Callithrix jacchus: one gene and its partners. The protein of the gene in region 2 binds, or shares a complex with, the protein of the main gene of each other region. Links are inferred from orthologs where the notes say so. Each region holds a gene or a part of one and is shown on either strand. Other genes may lie near its edges.

Region 1 (4,159 bases), on a different chromosome or scaffold from region 2:
CTACACATCTGTGAATTTCTTCATTTCCTGGATCCAAGATAACGTCTCCAACGTCTCATTTGACACCTCTGCCAACAGACGCTCTTGGGACTGGCCCAAAATAAGACAGAGGGAGTGAAGGTTGTTAGCCTCTGGAGTCCTGCCTGGGTTCGAATCCTGACTTAGCTACTTACCTGCCTTTCCCATCGGAATCTGTTTCCTCCTCCGTAAAATGGAGATGTCTTCAATTACTCATTTATTCAAGAAGTTAGTAGTTACCAAGTGCTTACTATGTGACAGGCCACAAAGATACAAGACTGACTCATGGAGCTGGCAGTCTAGTGAGGGAGGCAAGCACTGGGCTGAATTATGACCGGAATAAATGTGCAAACACAAACAACAGGAGCTCTAAGAGAACCGGATCCACGTGTTCATGGAGGCTGTGACCTATTCGGGGCGTCCAGAGGGTAATTGACATTTGAACACGGTCTTGACAGACTCGTCGAGTCTGGCTAGCAACTCCCCTGAGCGCCCGCTGACTGGGGTGCCAGGCGCCGCCCACTGCAGGCCTCCGTTTCCCCAGCTTCGCACTGAAGAGCAATGACTTGGATGTAAGAATTCTTGAGGTCCCTCCCAAGTTTGTTTAATAAACTTTTTCGAGGGCGAGGGTCTCCAAGCCACAAAGGCGCATCCCCTTCACCTGTTTGGACCTTGCTTGACCCCAGGTGGGGAGCCTCTTCCAGCGTTAACCCGGGCAGCTATAGTCACGCCGCCCGCGCTCCGCAGCGCCTCCCTCCGCATCCTCGCAGTGAGGCCACAGCGACATCTAGTGGCTAAAGGTATTTTTAACACGGCTTGCCGCTGGCGTGAATCAGGGGCGCTGCTCGCCAGAACTCAGCCCTCTTCCGCCTCCGCGCTTCGTGGGGAGCCGGGCAGAGTCAGAGTGAACACGCACTCCCTGCGGTGCAATTGTGTCGCGCGATAGGACTGGCTTTTCCCGACAGCTCAGCGCTACCGCCCCAGTTTTCTTGGTCCTAGCTGCCCCAAGGATAGGTAGGACCTCGGTGTGGAGCCCCGCCCCTCGTTCCCCGCCCCGCACAAGCCCCGCCCCCTTACGACGGCGCTTGCTAACTGCGCCTGCGCGTGCTACACACACACACACACACACACACACACACACACACACACACTCTCACTCTCTCTCTCTCTCTCTCTCTCTTCCGCCTCCTCCCCTTCCCTCCTTCCCCTCCCCCCCTCCCCCTTCCCCCCCTCCCTCCTCCTCTCTCTCTCGCTCTCGCTCGCTCGCGGCTTTCGCGAAGGTGTCGCTACCAAGAAACGTGTCCCGCGCGCCACGCCGTCTGTTTCTAGGGCAACGCCGGCGTTTCTTAGCAACCGCGCGCGGCCTAGGTGGGTTCCTTCGGAACCCCCAACCTTGCCATGACGACCGCGAGTCCTAGCGTCTTTCTACTGATGGTCAACGGGCAGGTGGAGAGCGCCCAGGTGAGCGGCCGTGGACCCCGTCGGGGCCCGCCCCCCAGCGTCCCCCGGGGCCCTTCCCGCAACCCCGCGGGCTGCCCTGTGGCCCCCAGAGAGCCACGTCATTCCTCTGAGCCTCTCCGTTAGGCGGGGGCGGGAAGCCAGCATTGGAGGACTTGGCGCGAGGTTTTCGGGATCCTAAGTTCCGATGTGCAGGTGTAGAAGCAGACCTCGAGATGTTGAGCTAGTACTGAGGTCACACTCGGCCAAGCCTGTGGCCCCTCGCACGGATCATGCCCTCTAGGTTGAGTCACTGGCAGGAGCCTCCCAGGGTGTAACGCGAGGAGCCGAGGCTCGGCCGAGTTTCCGGTATTTGCTCCGTGTCGGGTGCCCAGCTACTGCCCCGCGCTCTAAATCCCCAGATCTTTGAACTCGGGTTGGAATCCAACCATCCAACGATGGTAGTGGCCTGGAATGCCCCAGGGAAGGTGTGCCTGTCAGGCCGGAGGGACAGGAAGCTACTCTCCATCCCCCTACACTTTAGAGGAACCGTTTATTGTAAACAAAAACCAACGCTCACCAAGTCCTCAATATGTGCCAAAGTCAGTGCTCAGCACTGCTTATTCCATCCTTACAACCTTGCCAGATAGGCACTACTAACACCCCCATTTCACAGCCGGGGAAACAGCCAAAGCAACTGGCCTGTCTGGGAATTGAACCCACGCCTGTGTGACCTCAAAGCTTCGCTACACTGTCCTTCCAGGTCGTTGGAGATGGTGTTTATTATATTATTGTGAGGTGTGACTGAGACGGTTTGGGTAAGGCTCTGATAGGGCCTGATGCTTTGTTGGTGTCTCCTGCCTTCCTGTTTCATCAGGAATACTGCTCCACCCTCCCATCCTGTCCGCCTCTGCCTTAGCCTAGTGCCTAAGACCACCTTTCTCCCCTCTCTTGTTCTATCCCATTAGGGGCTCTTGGCTGGGCTGAGTCACATGTGTCTGTGCTCTCAGCATCAACCCCCCCCACACACACACACTCACACTCACACTTCCTCCCTGCTCTGCTCTCAGCACCTCCCTCTTTTCAGGGCCTCAGCTCCAGCCTTGCATATGCCCTGTGCCTGATGGCTTCCTAGGTTCTCAGACCTTTCACTTCAGCACCATTCCCTTACACTAGCAGTCCTCAGCCTTTTTGGCACCAGGGTCTGGTTTCGTGGAAGACAGTTTTCCCACGGACAGGAGGTGGCAAGGGATGTTTTGGGGATGATTTGGGGACATTACCTTTATTGTACACTTTATTTCTATTATTATTACATTGTAAAGTATAATGAAATAATTATACAACTCACCGTAATGTAGAATCAGTGGGAGCCCTGAGCTTGTTTTCCTGCAACTAGATGGTCCCATCTGGGGGTGATGCGGTGACAGTGACAGATCATCAGGCATTAGGTTCTCATAAGGAGCGCGCAAACTGAATCCTTCATATGCAGTTCACAATAGGGTTCGTGCTCCTATGAGAATCTAATGCCGCCACTGCTCAGACAGGAGGCAGAGCTCCAATGGGGAACTGCTGTAAATAAAGATGAAGCTTTGCCCACTTGCCTGCTGCTCATCTCCTGTTGTGTGGACCCATTCCTAACGGGCCACGGACTGGTACCGGTTGGGGACCCCTGCCTTAGACCTCATCCGTGCCCAGCCCTGTGCTGGGCAATGGGGACACAGAAAGGCATGAAATCTGTTCTCTGCTTATAGTCTAGAGGAATTGACAGACTTAGGCACAGGCAATCATTGCTTTTATGGAGGGAAGCACAGGGCTACAGGAGCCAAGAGGAGACCTTAAACCAACCTGAGAGTGAGGGCAGCCTCCCTGAAGGGTAAGTTTTGAAGTATGAGCAGAAGTTTTCCAGATGAAGAAATAGAAAGGACAGATCAGACAGAAGGCAGAGCCTGAGCAAAAGCCTGGGACTCTCCGTGGACTCCCGCATCTTGGCCCTGAGCCTCTCCTCTGAACGCCAGGTCCACATCCCCAGCTGGCTCTTAGACTCAATCCCAGGTGCCTCGCGTTCAAAATTCCTCTTGGCTGCCCTTGTCTAGCAAACGCATTGGCCTCAGCATGAATACCGGTTGACAGACTGTGCTTTTTTCAGTTTCCAGAGTATGATGACCTCTACTGCAAGTACTGCTTTGTATACGGCCAGGACTGGGCCCCCACAGCGGTAAGCTGGACTCTTGGGCCTCCCTTACTTACCACCTTCATGACTTTTGGGGTTTCTGAAGGTGTCATACCCTTCCCCTCCCCATTCAGAACCAGTCAAGAGGTAGACACTGAATTCAGGGGACCCACACATGAGTTTTCCTGGTAAGCTGGAGCAGAGGACACAGCCACGGTTGGACCCCCTGATCCAGCCCCCAAGACCACTCACACGCCCTACCCTGTGAGCTTGCCCAGGGCAGCAAAGAGCAGCGCCTGCAGCAGGGGGCTGGCCCTGGTGAGCCAGCCTGGCTGTGGCTGAGCTGTGGACACTCTGGCCAGTCTGCTCACCATCTGGCCTCTCCTTAGCCAGTGGGGAGGACACATGTTTCTGTTGGGGGGTGTCAGATAATAAGGAGTGCATATTCTAGAATGTCAGTGAGCCAGAAGGGCGGTGGGGAGACCAAGCCAGGAAGTGACAGGGATGAGCCATGAGAGAGGGAGGCCGCGATCT
Region 2 (4,021 bases):
AAAATTCAAAATTAGCCAGGCATGGTGTCACACGCCTGTGGTCCCAGCTACTCAGGGCTGAAGTGGGAGGACTGCTTGAACCCAGGGCTTCAAGGCTGCTGTGAGCTATAATCGCACCACTGTACTCCAGCCTAGGTGACAGAGTGAGACTCTGTCTCAAATAAATAAATGCTAAAAAAAAAAATCCTGGCCGGGCGCGGTGGCTCACGCCTGTAATCCCAGCACTTTGGGAGGCCGAGGCGGGTGGAGCACAAGGTCAAGAGATGGAGACCGTCCTGGCAAACATGGTGAAACCCTGTCTCTATTAAATACAAAAAATTAGCCAGGCATGGTGGCACATGCCTGTAGTCCCAGCTACTTGGGAGGCTGAGACAGGAGAATTGTTGAACCCAGGAGGCGGAGGTTGCAGTGAGCCAAGAATGCGCCATTGCACTCCAGCCTGGGCAACAAGAGCGAAACTCCGTCTCAAAAAAAAAAAAGTCCTGGCTGGGCATGGTGGCTCACGCCTGTAATCCCAGCACTTTGGGAGGCCGAGGTGGGCGGATCACCTGAGGTCGTGAGTTCAAGGCCAGCCTAGCCAACATGGAGAAACCCCATCTCTACTAAAAATATACAATTAGCCAGGCATGGTGGTGCATGCCTGTAATCCCAGCTACTCGGGAGGCTGAGGCAGGAGAGTCGCTTGAACCTGGGAGGCAGAGGTTGCAGGAAGCCAAGATCATGCCATTACACTCCAGCCTGGAAAACAAAAGTGAAACTCCGTCTCAAAAACAAACAAATCTGGCCTGTAACACACAAATCAGTCCTCGCAAGGTGGCTCATGCCTGTAATCCCAGCACTTTGCAAGGCCAAGCCAGGGGGATCATGGGGTCAGGAGTTCGTGACCAGCCTGACCAACATGGTGAAACCCCATCTCTACTAAAAATACAAAGATTAGCTGGTGTGGTGGCACACACCTACTACCTAGTCCCAGCTACTCAGGAGGCTGAGGCAGGAGAATCACTTGAACCGGGGAGGCAGAGGTTACAGTTAGCCGAGATCATGCCACGTCACTCCAGCTTGGCAACAGAACAAAACTCCAATTAAATAAAATAAAATCCTACGAGAGATCCTTATTCAGAGAATTGTCAGGGATCTTGGGACTGATCTGTGCAGGATATACTGCCTCCCTGACATGGAGTTATAACTGAACCTATTCCCCAAGAAAGCTAGTGAGAGGAACCAGGCACTCTTCTTGCAGTTAGGCAGCTGAAAAGGAATCAATCATCTAATATCCCATGCTATTGCTGATCTCTAGCCTTAGAGAGCAACGAACAGGTAAATGTTGACCCAATTAAGAAGCAGCAACTTGAAACTTCAGAGAGGGAGTAAAGGGATATACCTCCAGATCCAATCTTTGATAGTTAACCTAGGTTATGTACTTTTCTTGTTAATCAAGTTACAGTTTGTCTCATAAGGAGTGGAAATATTCTCTGGACGACACTCACCAAAAAACAGGCGAATTACTTCAATTCCAAGGTAAAGGAGGAGCATCACCACATCCAGTGCTAGGTTAGCTTTTGGATATGGTAGCAGGAGACCTGCCAATACAAAAGCCAGAGTTTGCAAACAACAGATAACGGCACCCACAAGGACTGCCACACACTTGGGAAAAAGAGGACATCTGTCTCAGCTGTCCATGAACTAGTTAGGAGGTGGGTGTTACAGCTGCAGGATACATAAACTCACAGTGCAACCAACCCCGGCTCATTATTACCGCATTTTACCCCTAACTCCAAAAGTCTCTGGGGACTCCACTCTCCAAAATGATTGGATATACAGGGTACACAGGCCACTGAAGTTTCTGAGGGTCACCAATGGGCTTACAGCTGAGCTCAGCAAAGAGCAGCAATGTGGGCGGAGTCAGAACTGAAAGGCCCTGTTTCCCAAATTCAAGAAATTCTTGCTGAGGGGCTACCTGTGGGATCGTACTCAAATAAGCCATCTGATGAGGAGGCCTGCCTTGCAGCGACAAAGAACTGCATAGGGCAAAAAAGGTTCTTGGTAGGAGACGGCTCTGACCTGAAGTGGGGGAAAGATGCTGTGTCTAAGCCTCAAGCCTTCCTTACCTTTATACAGAAACATGAAAAGTTCCAGCAGGAAATAGGTAGTATTATACCACCCGTTCAGAAAGAATAGGATTTCCAGGGGGGTGGAGGACAACCGTTTCCCTGAAAAAGGAGCACAGAGAAGTGGGATGGGCAGGAGGGCGGCTCCCTCTCGGCTCCTCGAAGGGGTTGGTATCTACTTTGGGGAAAACTAGGGGCAGTGGACTAATGGGACCGGCCACTTAGGGGCACTTCTGGTTGCTGATAATGAGTGGGGTGAGGGTACGGAGGTGAGTGTGGAGGGGGCTTCCCTCCTTTCCCAGGAATCACCGTGAAACTCGATCCTTCGGCTTCAGGGATACAAGTTAAGAGGTAACTGAGATCAAAGATCTCTCCCTGTCACTATTTGGGAGGGGAAGTTGGGGCGCGGAGATCCACATATTCGTACCTGAGCCAGCCTAGAAGAGGCCCAGCCGAGGATGTGTAGCTATCTGAGCCCCGCACCCGGAGACCTTCAGGCACCCAGGCTGGGCGGGGCCGCGGAAGCCCGCTTTGGACCAGGGAGGCGCCAAGTCCCTAACGCTTGAGAAAGGAGGGTTTAGGTCAAGCTCTGGGACAGAGGTGGGAGGGAGGGGCCGAAGGGAAAGGGACCAGCGACTCACACACCTCCAGAATCTCACCTCGCGGCGCCATCTTCAGTCCCCATGGAAACTGCGTACGCTACCACCGCGGCTCCAGGAGCAGCGAGGCGCTGCCGGAAACGGGGACGGAGCGGCCTGCGCTTCCGGGCTCTCCGACCGCACGCGGCGCTCTGTGCCCAACCCGAGCGGGAAGAACCCGGGCCTGGCGGCAAGTGACTCTCGCTTGATGTTCCAGTTCCAGACCTAAAACAGTGGCCGCCCACGACGCCGTCGTCTGCAGGACCTCGGGGGTGTGGGGGAGGACCCCAGAGGCTCTCGGGCTACCGGGCGTTGGGCGGAAGTGGCCAGCTGTGACAATATGATCAGGATTGGCAAATAAGTCCTAGTCCCACCATTCCCCTTTTTCATCGGAAACGATAAACGGTGTGCGCGACGGATCTCTGCAAATGCGGGGTGGGGGTTAGCATTGGTTTCTTTTTTTCTTTTCTTTTGAGACGGAGTTTCGTTCGTTACCCAGTCTGGACCAGCGGCGCAATCTCGACTCATTGCGACCTCCTCCCGGGTTCAGGCGATTCTCCCACCTCAGCCTCCTGAGTAGCTGGGATTACAGGCACCTGCCACCATGCCCAGCTAATTTTTGTATTTTTAGTGGAGATGGGGTTTCACTATGTTGCCTAGCCTGGTCGCGAACTCCTGACCTCAGGTGATCTACCCACCTCGGCCTCCCAAAGTCCTGGGATTACAGGCATGAGCCACTGTGCCCCGCCAGCATTGGTTTTTTTCTGCGGCCTATTTAGTAGCAGGTAGAGACACCAGGGAAATAGAGCGTCCTTTCCTGGAGCACAAATTGAAACGAGTCACCACGTGATACATAAAGTGGTTCAGTGAGAGCTGAGAGGACAAAGTGCTCCCACATGGAAATCGAAGTTAGTTTCCAAAAGACGGCCTGTGAGCTGGGCTTCAAAGCCTCCTGATTCGGATTTTGAGCGGTAAAAGCATGTTGCTGGCTGGGTGCGGTAGCTCACACCTGTAATCCCAGCACTTTGGGAGACTGAGGTTGGTGGATCACTTGAGGTCGGGAGTTGGAAACCATCCTGGCCAGCATGGCGAAACTCCATCTTTATTAAAAATACAAAAATTAGCCGGGCATGGTGGTGTGCACCAGTAGTTCCAGCTACTTGGGAGGCTGAGGCAGGAGAATCGCTGGAACCTGGGAGACAGAGGTTGGGTTGCAGTGAGCTGAGATCATGCCGCTGCACTCCAGCCTGGGTGACAGTGATACTCCGTCTGGGG
Region 3 (4,200 bases), on a different chromosome or scaffold from region 2:
CCCGCCCACTTCCTTCCCCCAGACGTCTACCGTAATAACCAAAATAGAAGCGATATCAAGTATCTTACGGTCTGCAGGACTAGAAAACAGCGTAGTTGTTTTTTTCTTCAATAGTTAAGCCATCCCAATTGTCCCCTGAAAACTATATAACTCTTGATCTTACTACAAAACATATTTTATTACAAAACACTAAATACAATGCTGATAATCCCATACATCCAACACATATCCTCTAGCAGAAGCAGTTTCCAAGGGGAAGACTGAAGCCTATGCCTTTCTTCTTCCAGGAATACGAAGCGGCCTCCCATGTAGCCTTCGACCATCAGGAAGGTGATCAGAAAGGTTTCTTTTTCAGCCCAAAGATGGCGATGAATAAAGCCATTTCAGTGACAGCTGGAAGGGCACTACCGAAGCAGGTGGTAGATTCAGAAATCCTTTCAATATAAATATGCAAATCTCCAAACTAGAGACCCCACCCCTGAAAGTATAGGGCAGGTGGCATGGGGATGGGGGATGAAAAAGACTACAGGATCTCATGCATGGAAGAAGGGACCGGGTGGGGGAAAACTTTCAGATTTAGGGTAAACCTTCCTCCCTCATCCCCAAATATTGGGTGTTACCACACCTGCAGAAGAAAAAAATGTACCAATACGTAGTGCACTCCCAACGCTCAAATATGAAGAAGGACAGGGCCACGGATGCACTACAGTGAGCCCCAATGGCTTGGGAAGGCACCACAGTTAAGGAAAGTCTTTGGATCGACAGATAGTGATGGATCAGAAAACATCAGTGGTGGGGTTGGCATCTGCACTCAGGTTCATCGCTTGCTCCCTCACCATATTGCAAGGGCTAGAGTCAGCAGCCCTGACTTCTGAATTGTAGGATGGTCATATGAGGAGAGACCAGAAGTAACTGCATAGATGGGACCTCAGGCTAGCCTACCCCACATCTAGAGGCCAGCTTGGACCCTTCAGATGAGAGGTAAGAGTAGGCTCTCCTACCATGCCACACAGGAGTGCTGACAGCGAATTGATATGCTCTGCTGGAATCAGCCTCCAGGGTTCTAGCACTCCTGGTTCACAGTTCTCTGACCCACGTGCTTCATTTCCTTTGCCATTTCTGAGTTCCCATTGTGCTTTCTACCTTTTGTTTGTTTGTTTGTTTGTTTGTTTGTTTGAGACAGAGTCTCACTTTGTCACCAGGCACCAGGCTGGAGTGCAGTGGCACAATCTCGGCTCACTGCAACCTCCGCCTCCCGGGTTCAAGCAATTCTCCTGCCTCAGCCTCCTGAGTAGCTGGGACTACAGGCACACGCCACCACGCCCAGCTAATTTTTGAATTTTTAGTAGAGACGGGGTTTCACCATGTTGGCCAGGATGGTCTCAATCTCTTGACCTCGTGATCCACCTGCCTCGGCCTCCCAAAGTGCTGGGATTACAGGCTTGAGCCACCGTGTCCCGCTTGTTTGTTTTTTGACGGAGTCTCACTCTGTTGCCCAGGCTAGAGTGCAGTGGCTCAACCTCGGCTCACTGCAACTTCTGCCTCCCAGGTTCAAGCAATTTTCCTGCCTCAGCCTCCTGAGTAGCTGGGGTTACAGGTGTGCCGTCACCACGCCCGGCTAATTTTTGTATTTTTAGTAGAGAATGGTGTTTCACCATGTTGGTCAGGCTGGTCTCAAACTCATGACTTCAAATGATCCACCTGTCCTGGCCTCCCAAAGTTGCTTGAAATAAAGGCGTGAGCCACCGCGCCCACCCCTCTTTACACACTCCTATAGCACCCTGCTTATCACTGAATTACAGATATGTGTCTGCCTCCTCCTCATGATAAACAAAAAAGGTGAAGTTCTCATTATTACTATTATTTTTGTAGACATAGGGTCTCACTATGATGCCTCAAGCAATCCTCCTGCCTGGGCCTCCCACACTGCTGGGAATACAGACATGAGTCAACGTGCCTGGCCGAAAACTGTTTTACTCTCATTTTGGGATTTTAAGTGCCTAGTAAACAGCAGGATTTAGCACATGTTTGAAGATATCCGAACTGGAGAGATTGGTTACAGCAGACACTATGGTGTCAGGTGGCTGAAGGGAGTCCTGATGGAAATGGTCGTGTGGGAAAGGTGAGCAGGAGGAAAGGATACAGATGAGGCTCTGGGTGCTGTTGAACATGGAGACTCCTAGAAGGAAACCGGCCAGCTCCACTGCAAAGAGGCCCAGAGTGACAGAGAGCGCGGCCACCAGCCTGCAGAAAGGAAGTGGACAGCCTCAGGCCCTTGGACTTCTAAGAACCCTCCACTCCCACCACCTCTCCGTTCTGACCAGCCCATTCCGAGAGAGCTCACTGAATGTCCTGCTTTTCATACTCCTCGGGGGTGAACCTGAGAGGCAGGCAGGCCTGGATGTTGCTGTCCTGGGAGCAGAGCAGAGAGGAAGAGAAGTGAAAAAGGGACGGGCGGCGAGGCAGGCCTGGGGGCGGCGGGGAACGAGAAGACCTAAGTGGGTAAGACACTGGGAGAGGGGCAAGATGGGGCTGGGACCACTCCGAGGTGGGAATAGGGGCGGACGGATGTCAGCCGTGGGTCTTACCCGGGACCAGAATAAGGTGATGACGACCACCAGATGCGCCAGGAGCGTCAGGAAGCGAGAAGGTACGAGCCCTGAGACCCGGCCCATGGCCCTTGGAAACAGGGGCGGCGGTCTCAGAGGCCGGAATTTCAAAGAGAGCGACTCCTGAAGTCTCCCTGCAAGCGGACAAAATCTAGACGAACGCCTCCTTCCCGCCCGCTCAGGCACCGCCCAGTTACCTTGGTAACTCCGTACGCGAACGCGGCGCCGCGTTCTCGAAAAACATCGCGAGAGCAGTATATTCTCAAGCTGCTGCTGGCCTCTTCCGGCTTGCGCAGGTCAGGGCTTCCCCGAATGCCATTCTAACCCAACGTTTGGGTATCCGCGCGTAGCCAAGCCCTTTGTTCCTGAGAGGGTGCGAGGTGGCACGGCCCCGCAGCGCCCGATCTACCCGCCCAGGACCGACGAACGGAAACCGACCTGGGCTAGCCTGGGGGCACCTCGGCTTCCGCAGTTGCCGGGAGCGGCCCCCAGCCCCTTCTACACCGACAATTGTGGATCTCCTGAGGCCGCGCCACCGCCATGCCGGGCTGAGGTCCGGGTCCCCGCCATGCCGAAGACTCAGACACGCTCCCCTTCCCCTCCTCCGTATGCCTTTAGCTTCCCACCAAGCTGGCCTCAGAAACAAGGGTCCCGAACTTGGAGAGGCGGTGTCCCTAGACTGCTCAGCAGTCACAGATTGTCACGGAGCCCCTGGATGTCTGAGGACCCCAGGCCTGAACTTTCCTTGAGGAAGACTGATTTCTCTCAGTCTAACTTTGCTCAGTTTGGTGAGGGATTTGCAGAGTGCAAAAAATGGCAGAGCAAGGGGACCGGAAAGGGTGGGAGTGGATGGAGGGAATGGACAGTCCCTGCATCCCTGGGAGGCTTGGAGCTGACTGGAACGGAAACTCAAATCAGATTTCTTTATCTCTTGGAGGTGCTGGGCCTCCGACATTACCCAGCTACAGTCCAAGAAGCTCTTATCATCGGCAACCTCATGACCTTTGGGTTTCAGCGCAGGTCCCCGCTGATCGGAAAGCTCTTTCTTCTCGCAATGCTGTCAAGTCCCATTCTCAAGGGTCCTCCCGGCTCATTTCCCCGGAGAACAACCGCTTCCTCTTCCTCACTCCCCGTCTCAGTGCCTTTAGCCAGTCTAAATATATGCCCAAGAGGCATTTCTCATTTCTTCAAATATTGTTTGTATTTACTGATTACCTAGTAGGTGGATTCTAGTCAGGGAGATCAATAATAGACATGCAAACAAATCCGCAAGATACTATATGCTATGAAAAGGGAAACGCTACAATTATAATTCTATAAAAAGAATGGGGCATTTGTTCTTAAACTTTATTTTAGAAAATTTGGCGCAGTAGCTCATGGCCGTAATCCCAGCACTTTAGGAGGCCAAGGCGGGCAGATCACCTGAGGTCAGGAGTTCTAGACCAGCCTGATCAACATGGTGAAAACCGGTCTCTACTAAAAATATAAAAATTAGCTGGGCATGATGGCGAGCACCTGTAATTCCAGCTACTCGGGAGGCTGAGGCAGGAGAATTTCTTGAATCCTGGAGGTGGAGGTTGCAGTGAGGCGA

The links. The genes of interacting proteins can lie anywhere in the genome.
Region 1: TMEM216 (region 2) and B9D1 share a complex: the UniProt entries of both Homo sapiens proteins name them as parts of the tectonic-like complex. The link is inferred for Callithrix jacchus from reciprocal best matches to the Homo sapiens genes TMEM216 and B9D1.
Region 3: TMEM216 (region 2) and TMEM107 share a complex: the UniProt entries of both Homo sapiens proteins name them as parts of the tectonic-like complex. The link is inferred for Callithrix jacchus from reciprocal best matches to the Homo sapiens genes TMEM216 and TMEM107.

The regions. Positions count from the first base shown.
Region 1 is NC_133506.1:83,259,313-83,263,471, reverse strand, and holds the start of B9D1 (B9 domain-containing protein 1), read left to right. Parts: upstream 1-1,359; 5' UTR 1,360-1,416; coding exon 1,417-1,479; intron 1,480-3,601; coding exon 3,602-3,670; intron 3,671-4,159. UniProt on the Homo sapiens protein: Component of the tectonic-like complex, a complex localized at the transition zone of primary cilia and acting as a barrier that prevents diffusion of transmembrane proteins between the cilia and plasma membranes.
Region 2 is NC_133511.1:118,390,728-118,394,748, reverse strand, and holds the start of TMEM216 (transmembrane protein 216), read right to left. Parts: upstream 2,801-4,021; 5' UTR 2,781-2,800; coding exon 2,768-2,780; exon of another isoform or gene 2,536-2,767; intron 2,211-2,535; coding exon 2,109-2,210; intron 1,581-2,108; coding exon 1,488-1,580; intron 1-1,487. UniProt on the Homo sapiens protein: Part of the tectonic-like complex which is required for tissue-specific ciliogenesis and may regulate ciliary membrane composition.
Region 3 is NC_133506.1:74,652,738-74,656,937, forward strand, and holds TMEM107 (transmembrane protein 107), read right to left. Parts: upstream 2,801-4,200; 5' UTR 2,676-2,800; coding exon 2,589-2,675; intron 2,413-2,588; coding exon 2,345-2,412; intron 2,245-2,344; coding exon 2,144-2,244; intron 723-2,143; coding exon 626-722; intron 405-625; coding exon 335-404; 3' UTR 160-334; downstream 1-159. UniProt on the Homo sapiens protein: Plays a role in cilia formation and embryonic patterning. Requires for normal Sonic hedgehog (Shh) signaling in the neural tube and acts in combination with GLI2 and GLI3 to pattern ventral and intermediate neuronal cell types.